Drosophila melanogaster: one gene and its partner. The protein of the gene in region 2 interacts with the protein of the main gene of each other region in a pairwise test. Each region holds a gene or a part of one and is shown on either strand. Other genes may lie near its edges.

Region 1 (4,887 bases), on a different chromosome or scaffold from region 2:
CTTTGCTGGATGGCCGCCAGCAAAATCAGAATGATAGCTTTTCCCAACTGCATCTTCAGATCGATGTGCTTCGTTCGGTGGTTGTGGCGAATGTGATGTCCTGTGCTCCTGCGTAGCTACCCTTATATACCTCGATCCTTTCGGACTGATCCGCATCCGCGTTAATTGACATAACCGCACATCAGCGTTGCGTGGCTGCGATAATCAGACAATGGCTGCAAAGGCGCTTGACACTCGAGACATCCGGGGCGCCTGCGCAAGGACCACTTTTGGCCAAGGAGTCAGCCCAGGACGACATGTGCTTGATTGAACCTCCGACGCGCAGCGCCTGCCTTTGTTTTTCTAGGGAACACTTAGCGCGAGCCGCGGCAATTAAACGGCAAACTGAGCGCACACAAAAATTAGTGCTTACGCATCTTGCCTCAGACGGCGGCCAGGTAGACCGCGTCCAGTCCTCAGTCCTTGCCACAGGACCAAGCTGGACGAGGCAGAGCAAGGCGACACCCAACGACAGGCGACTACTAGCGGCCAATGTGGGAATCAAAGTGCGTAATTGAGTCGCTTAAAAGCGCCAAATGGTTTCATGAATGTACCGCTCTCACCAGGCTCACCAGGTAGACGCTCGCCTTTCAAATGCGAAAGGAAGTACAAATAAATCCTAGCGCCAGCCATAAACGGATCAACTGCGCCGATCTCAATCCGCTGGTCTCCGCTCCTGCTCATCGACAAGTTCTGCGCTCGCTAATTATTCCTGAATGCGGGTTTTATTGATGCAATATAAATAATGCAAATGCAATTTGTGGTGCATGCAGACAAGGGGGTGGTCCCTAAAAAATGTGCCATCTAAGTAAGCCATTGCCACTGTCGCTGCCACTGCAGCTGCGGAAGACCAGCATTGAGTTTTCGACGGGTAATTATGTAATATGCATAATGACAATAAATAAAGTTAGTCGAAATATACATATGTATGTATGTAGGTAACCAGGGAAAAGATTAGGTTGAATGTGGAATTAGCTTTATTTAAATTAAATCAACAAAAAATGCACAAGGTGAAGAAGTAGTTCTATATATTATATCAATTTTTCACATTTAAAATATGTGACTTGTCATACAATTTACCAAATATTTATAAGTAGGGAAGTTTTGTGCCTTCTGTGCTATAATACAAATATAACTTTGATACATTCCATCAAATTTTATAGAAAATAGCTATTGAAAAAATAGCTAATTGAAAATGACTAGCGAAATGAATGGAAATTAAATAGTTTTTTATTTTCTTAAAATATAGCTATGCCTTAATATTCAAGGCTAAAAAGCAGTAGGTAATCAATCGTTCAAGGGCTTACCTACTATTTTAAAAATACTAATGTCAATTTTAAAGTTATTCTCTTCATGACATGAAGCTTACTACTATTCTTTTGCTAAAAGGTGATGGCCATATGCTATTCACAACCTGCTTGCTCTATTTTAAAAATGTTCGTTACAAAAAGACTTTTGGGTAAAATTGTTACCCTACTTCAATTTTACATGTAGACACTTAACCGAGAAAAAAGCAGTAGAAATTGATATACGAAGCAGGGTAAAGAAGTTCAAATCTAATGCCAAAGCAGTTACAAACCAGTACAACGGTTATTTAGCCCAGACGCAAACCAGAATCAGGAAGTAAAGTAATGTAAAGTAAAGTTTTCAACCGGAAGAAGGAAATGTTCGTTCTTATAAGAAGTTATTTCAAGCGAAACCCACACAAAACTAATTAGAATTACGAAAGTTTTTTAAGCAAATTACAATTTTTATATATTTTATTTGCTACAATGAACAGACTAGCACAACACAATACATATTTCAATTTCTGTCACATCTAGCCGTTAAAATATATATTTTTCTACAAACACCGTAGTTATAGAAACGAAGTTTCTTGTTTATTATTTTAAAGAGCCGGCAATTGTAACCACGCCAAAATGCCGAAAGTACTGTTTCAGAAGTACAAGAAGGTGGTGAGCAACATCGACCCGAGTCGCTATAGCGCCAAGTTCAAGGAAATCGACGAGCAGAGGCGCTCGCAAGGTTCGGAATCGGATTTTGCAGATGAAATGGAGGGCGAGTTCGAGGCGGAAATGGAGGAAATGGGATCTAGTGAATTTAGTTTATCCGAAGGAGAACCATCGCTCAATATCGGAAAGATCGATTTATCCTTTCCCGAAACAGTCGAGGAGTTCGAAAACAGTCCCCAGTGCTATCCTCCATCGTACTATACCCTCTCGCCCAAGGAGCGGTTGCTCCTGCTGTACGCTGAGAATTTCCGGAAGCAATTGGTTCTCAGCTACCCAAAGAGACGAGCCATGGTCTTGGCCCTGCCCAACGAATGCAAAGTACAGGTGAAGTCAGCACCATCTGCTCCTTTAGTGGCCAGCGTTTTGATAAATTGCCACTCTTAACCAACTTACAGAAATTCGTTTGCACCACCATCAGGCCAACGGCGTTTATTTACACGCAACTCATATCAAGTGTCGAGGAAATTGCCAAGTTTGTCGCCGATTTCATTCAGTATGAGCCACTGCAGGATCCCATAAATTTGGTAAGTCTATTATGGCAAAGTTGAACCAATCACATATCCATTATTCTTATGTTCCGAGCTCATGTAGCAATATATTTAAAAGTTTATGCGTTCTAAAATGTTCAATAACTTGACCAAGGCAATTTATACTTGTAAATATAAAAGTAAAACATTTAGGTATTTTAGTAGATATATATGAAAAACCACTTAGACCCTCCAATACGACAGCGGTAAGTAAATACGACGACAGTTCTAAGAGTTTCATAAAAATTATCTAATTATTTTTTATTGAACATGTATTTAAAATTACATTTAAATTTGTAAATGTTTTTATTTAAATATCGCATTAATTCCGAATTAAGAAAATTCTTTTGAGCACATTTCCATAGTTATTAATATACGAAATTTAAAAACGTTTGATATCAAATGCATGCCATTCGCGCCAACACACCTTGCAGTTCGAAAAGTATTTTTTCTTTTTCGTAACAAAAACTAAGGGCTATAACATTTTTCTAGAATGCATCATTGGGTGAAAAAACAAACTAACAAAACAGAGTCGGTTGTCTTTCCGTTCAAAAAGAAATGCATAATAGCTACAAATAGAGTTTCTCGATATATACACGTTAACCGTACGATTAATTAATTAATACAATGCAATGCAATGCAATGGAGTGGATTCGAATTGAATTGAAAGATACTGAAAGTATGCTCGATAGGTTTCACAGCTAGGAGATAAATTCAGTGGAGTCCTCCGGATGCGTGGAACCATGTGGTCTAACTGCTGGAGCTCAGTTCGTCGTACTGCTGGTACTCGCCCGTGATCTGGCAGTCGTCGGGGTCATCGTCGAGGTCACAATGTACAAATTCGTAGGGAGGGAAGAACAGGGAGCTGAGTAGGGTGGCCGACGATCGGTAGACGGCCGGCGCATAGACATGGCACCTCGTCGAGCCCTCGGCGGTATCTGCATTTGCATCTGTAGCCAGGACACCGGGTCCTGGCTCTGCATCGTGCAGAGCACCGTCTGGGCTATCCTCTATCTCTGTATCCGTGGCTGGCTCCGTGGGCGCCAACTTTGGCTTTTCCTATTTGCGACGGCGACTCTTGCCCCGCCCACTGCCCTCCTCCTCCGCGGCGTGCTCCTCGCTGTCCTCCGGCAAAGCGGATTTCTCGATCATCGGTGTCTCGTTGCCCGACTTGATGGCGGCTATTAGGAAACGAAGTTGCATCAGCTGCACGGCCGTCACGCGGGGATTGCTGCAATTCTCCAGCCACTGCAGGAACTTTTCGCCATGGCGGATGGCCTCGATATCCTCGTCCGCCGTGCAGTCCAGATACTTGGCCTTCTCCTCCTCGTCCGTTTTGTTTGAGTTATTATTGTTATTGTTATTGCTGGCGCTCACATCGTTGTTGTTCGTATGCGGATTGCTGGTGTCCTGGAAGCTGCCCTCCGATTCGGAGGATCCCTGTTCCGGCATCAACGGACCAGTGGCCTCCATTCCGCCCATCTTGAAGAGCATATTGTCTAGGATCTTCTTGCATTCGCTTGTGGAATTCGTGGTCTCTGGGGTTTTGGTCTTCGCCTTTGGTTCGGGACTCCTGCTGCCTGATGAATGGGCAATGGGACTTTGCGAAGGGGTCATCACTTTGCCGGCGGCTGAGAGATCCTCCGGTTTCCCGGATGCCTCCGGCTCCACTTCGCCATCGAGATCGGTTTCGGTGGCCTCGTCAGCCTCGGGATTCTGTTCGTTGGAGGACAAACTTCTCACCGACGGCGTCTCAGTCTCTTTCGTGAGATGGGAGTACAGTATGTTCGAGGGATCTCCCATGGATCCCCCCTCTGCGGCCGTGGTGGCCACCTGCTGCTGCAGTTGGTTGGCTTGCAGGGCGGCCAAGGTGGCGGCATTGGGATTCAGGGTATGCAGACTGGCACCGAACGCCTTGCACCAGTTGTACCACGCCGCGTTCTTCTCGTCCAGACTGCCCGACGGTGTGGACGAGGGTGTTAGCGGAGCCGAGGGTATCGGCGGAGTCTGTGCCAACTGACTCATGTGCTGCGGCGTGGAAGATCTGATAGGGGGACTGGTCACGCCCATGGGAATTGTGGGCGGATAAAGGGGATTCAGACCCAACATGGTCTGCTGCGACTTGAGCCAGTAGAGCAAGGGATCTTCGGCCAGATTGGAGAGCGTCATGGGCCCGCCCATTTGCGAAGGAGCAATCGAAGGACTGGGACTCTTGATATCGCCTCCCTTGCCCTCGTTCTTGATGCTCAGATTGAGGCTGCCCTGGCCCTCCCCCGGCTTCTGTTTGGCCCAGTTCTTTACCGACAATC
Region 2 (3,878 bases):
AGCTGTAATATACCTACATAAATTACAAATAAATTAATGTTAATACTAAGATTGTCACTGACACCCAATAAAGAACCTCGAGCAGACGATACGATATAAATATTTATGCGTGTTTGTTTTTTTTTTTAATATCAATATTCTAACAGAGGATATTAACAATCCCGCAAAAGTTCATAATCATCTTTTCGCTGCATACTTTTGGGCTACTGTCCGGATTTGCTATATTTGCTATTTGCTGTGTATATTTGATAGTAGGGGGTGTCCCCGAACGAATCTTATAGGTTCTATATACATATGTAAGTTCTGACCATCACAATCAATCACTCTACTGAATGCAAATGGCTCATCCTGCGAGGTGTGTAAACAAAAGTCGAGAAAATTGCGCAGAAAGCGCATCTGCTGCTATCCCCGTCCCGCTCCTGGCCACGCAGCTGGCATGCTGCTGTCCCGCTCTAGGTCGCGTGGTGTGCACCAAGAGCACCCAGTGCTCCAGACCAGCCCAGCCCAACCCAGGAAAAAAAGGTAGTGCAGCGGGTGCAGTAACGGCAAAACACACATTCAAATGCATATAATATGGACACTCATATACAGCGCTTGCAATAGCTTCAATTACAACAGGTTTAAATATAGACACATGGAATAAACACTAACAGCCGCAGCACAAATTGACGCCTCAAGTCCTGGGCACACCTCCGAAGTTGTACTGTTTGGATTTCCACAAATTGTTTTGCAGGTAAAGTCCCGGCACACAGATATAAATACAGATCCACCCAGTACACTTGGCACGGCCAGTGCAGCGAAGTGGCGAGCGGATCAAATAAAGAACCAGACCAGACCACATGATGCAACCAACAACTGGATGGGGATGATGGGATCGGGATGGATGGTTTCGCATTTGAGACCCTCACGAGTACTCCTGGCATCGTAGAACCGCATGATTGCTATCGCACAGCATAGTCCAAAACAAGGAACAAGGAACGGTATCTTTCGATACCATGAAATACCATATCGTGCTCCAAAGTAGCAGTTTCCTATGCGATGGCCATCCTGCAGCTGGGCAATCGTCACTCTCGAGGATTACCCGTTCTACTTACTCGTGCCGGTGCCAAATGCGAGCACATGCCACCTTAGTTGGGCGACTTGGTCGGCCCGGCAACTGCCGATGCCCGACGTGCCACCTCCGGTACTTTGCCATCCGTATCCGCATCCTGATCCGGCTGATCCCCATCGCCCTGCACCTGGGGGGTCTTCAGCTGCGGCAGGGCCAGCATCTGGTCCATCAGATCGAAGCCGCTCTTCCAGATCAGCAGCTGGGCGCGCAGCTTCAATTTGCTGCGATTGCGGAGCAGGTGCTTCTCCATTGCGAACCCCTTGCGGGCGCAGGCAAAGTCGCACGCCCGCTGCCGCAGCACGGGGCAGATGTCGTTGTTGCCGTCGCCCACATAGAAGACGTGGTCATAGCGTATGCTGCGCCGCAGGTCCTGCTCGATGACAAAGTGCTCCAGCACGCGGCCCTTGCACAAATTGCTGGCGCTCAGCTTGCAATCCGACTGCTGGTGGTGGGCGCGGACCATAAGCCGTCCGGAGGCATCGAATTCCGCCGGATTGGTAAAGATGGCCACAAAGCAATCGGCCAAGTTATGTGCCCGCAGCCACTCGTCGATAAAGACGCTGTTCGAGTCACTGATGATGATCAGGTCGTAGTGCAGCCGCTTGGCCAGATGCTTGATCAGGCGCACGAATCCGGGCACCTCGGGTATGCCACGAATGGTGTCCCTAATGCGCGCCTCCGACACCTGTTGCTCGTGCAGCAAGCGAAACACCTCGGCCATGTACTCCGTCCAGCAGTCGTTTTCAACCAGCTCGTTGACCTTGGCGCTCGTCACCTCCGTGGGCAGCAGGTCGCGCACCACGGTGTCCGTGTTCTGGGAAACGATCGTGTGGTCGAAGTCGAAGGCCGCCAGTCGACGGCGCTGCTGTTTCCTTAGCCTGCAGCTGGCCACGGCCGCGGCCACTGCGGCGGGTGACTGCTCCTGGTTCGAGGACATCGTGTGCTCCGCTCCTGCTCCGGCTATGGATGCGCTCAGAGCGCGCGGAGAGCAAGTTCGAGTGCGAGTTTTGTGCGAGGACCAGTGTGTCCGCGCCGCCCACGATGCTAAATGCCAGGTCGCCTGGGCGCAAACACCGTTGTGCGTGCGCTTGGATGTGCAAAATACCGATTATATACCACAAAAATGCAATAGTGCAAGTCCTGTCTTGTTCTTATTATTATCTCTATTTCTAATTGGAATTAGGTTTTGCTTCAATATAAATATAATGTTGTTAATATAATATGTTGTTGTAAATATTATATTTGATTAAAAATGAAATAATATAACGCGCTCTATTAGTTCGATTAAATCTGTAGTTCTTTGTTTGAAATTCATCCAGTTACCTTACTTATGTAAAGATTGGTGTGAAGCATTAAAGCATTGTGAACTCACATTTTTTCAACTAGTTAACGATATAATATGGTTACTCCCCAACGAGTAAAAATAGTTAAGGAATGTGAACAAAAATTCAACTTTGAATATAATAAAATTAGGCTACAAATTAGCTAACGTTTGGAGCATTCCAAAGCTTTCATAGCATCCAGCTGCAAAATAGCCAAGCTGGCATCCCTGCCACCACTGACAGCTCGGCCCCAGTGTAGCGTAGCCCTGGCGTTTGACAGCCGACGTGGAGCTGTCATCGGCAAACACATACGAATAACGGGGTCTACGCGGCAGTCGACGATTGTATCTCATTTAGTTGGAAATTCTGAATTAAAGCGGAGGTATGTGTGTTTGCTTATTTGATTTTCAGCTGCGCTCGCACAGTTTTTCAATTAAAATGGTTTGAATGGCTATCAAGCACACGCAGCAGAGGTTTATTTGCCCTGCGCGCCGTTCTTTGCCTGTGGACCTTGCACTTTTTCCCGTTTCTTTACCAAATCCTGCTGATTTGGTGAATCGAAGCGATTGGGTTGGTGGTGGCACAGACATTAATGGTGATCTTCAGCCACTGACCCCTGTTGGAGCTGTGATAGCTGGATAACTTGTTGGGCGAATTTGTGGAAATGGGCAACGCGATTTCACCTGTGCCGTCGCCAACCATTTGCCACGTCGCAGCTGACGTTGCTGTGAAAGCGCTGAATACCTTTTACTGATTAGCACTTTCCTTCGCTTTCGTTGCAGAATCCCAAATATCTGACAAGACATGGACAAGGTTGTTAAGTTTGCCGAGCCTGGACGCGCCTTCGCCAAGGACTCGATCCGCCTGGTCAAGCGGTGCACCAAGCCCGACCGCAAGGAGTTCCAGAAGATCGCCATCGCCACTGCTGTGGGCTTCTGCATCATGGGCTTCATCGGCTTCTTCGTTAAGTTGATACACATCCCCATCAACAATATCATCGTGGGCTCTTAAATGCGCTGAGTGGCAAGGAAACCACCAATCATCCAATCATCCATTATAGCATACATCAGATCAACGTCTTTTTTTTTCGTTTAGTTAACATGCATTATATGTATGGACCATGTGCATTCAGCGAATGCCTTTCTAACAAAATTCTACACAAACGTACGAAAACGTATTGTAATGTTTCGATATTCCATTCATGAACAAGTTAGTTAATAAGATTCAAATGTAAAAAGGAATCACCCGTCTTCATAGCATTTGTTTGGGGTGCGCATCCCCGCTAATAAATGTTAAATTGATTTTCCGTGTACAAATGAGATTCTTTTAACTCTGAGAGACGCAACGTTACATTGCTTGAAGAAAGTAAAGTTGTAAATGAAGCTGATAAACCGACATCATCATTAGAACCAAGAATAAATGTCCAGAAAACGTACAAGCAATAT

What was found.
Region 1: the proteins of CG12237 (region 2) and lobo interact in a two-hybrid assay, tested with the Drosophila melanogaster proteins (one large-scale study listed by BioGRID).

What each region holds. Positions count from the first base shown.
Region 1 is NT_033777.3:25,190,726-25,195,612, reverse strand, and holds the start of lobo (lost boys), read left to right. Parts: upstream 1-1,836; 5' UTR 1,837-1,958; coding exon 1,959-2,375; intron 2,376-2,446; coding exon 2,447-2,575; intron 2,576-2,806; exon of another isoform or gene 2,807-3,328; coding exon of another isoform or gene 3,329-4,887. Other genes in the region: CG13653 (uncharacterized protein), read right to left, coding at 1-53; dan (distal antenna), read right to left, coding at 3,638-4,887. UniProt on the Drosophila melanogaster protein: Key component of the nexin-dynein regulatory complex (N-DRC), essential for N-DRC integrity. Involved in the regulation of flagellar motility. Involved in sperm motility. Required for the sperm to enter in the coiled storage seminal receptacle (SR) tubule.
Region 2 is NC_004354.4:19,640,650-19,644,527, forward strand, and holds CG12237 (uncharacterized protein), read right to left. Parts: upstream 2,221-3,878; 5' UTR 2,049-2,220; coding exon 1,128-2,048; 3' UTR 542-1,127; downstream 1-541. Other genes in the region: Sec61gamma (Sec61 gamma subunit), read left to right, coding at 3,238-3,444.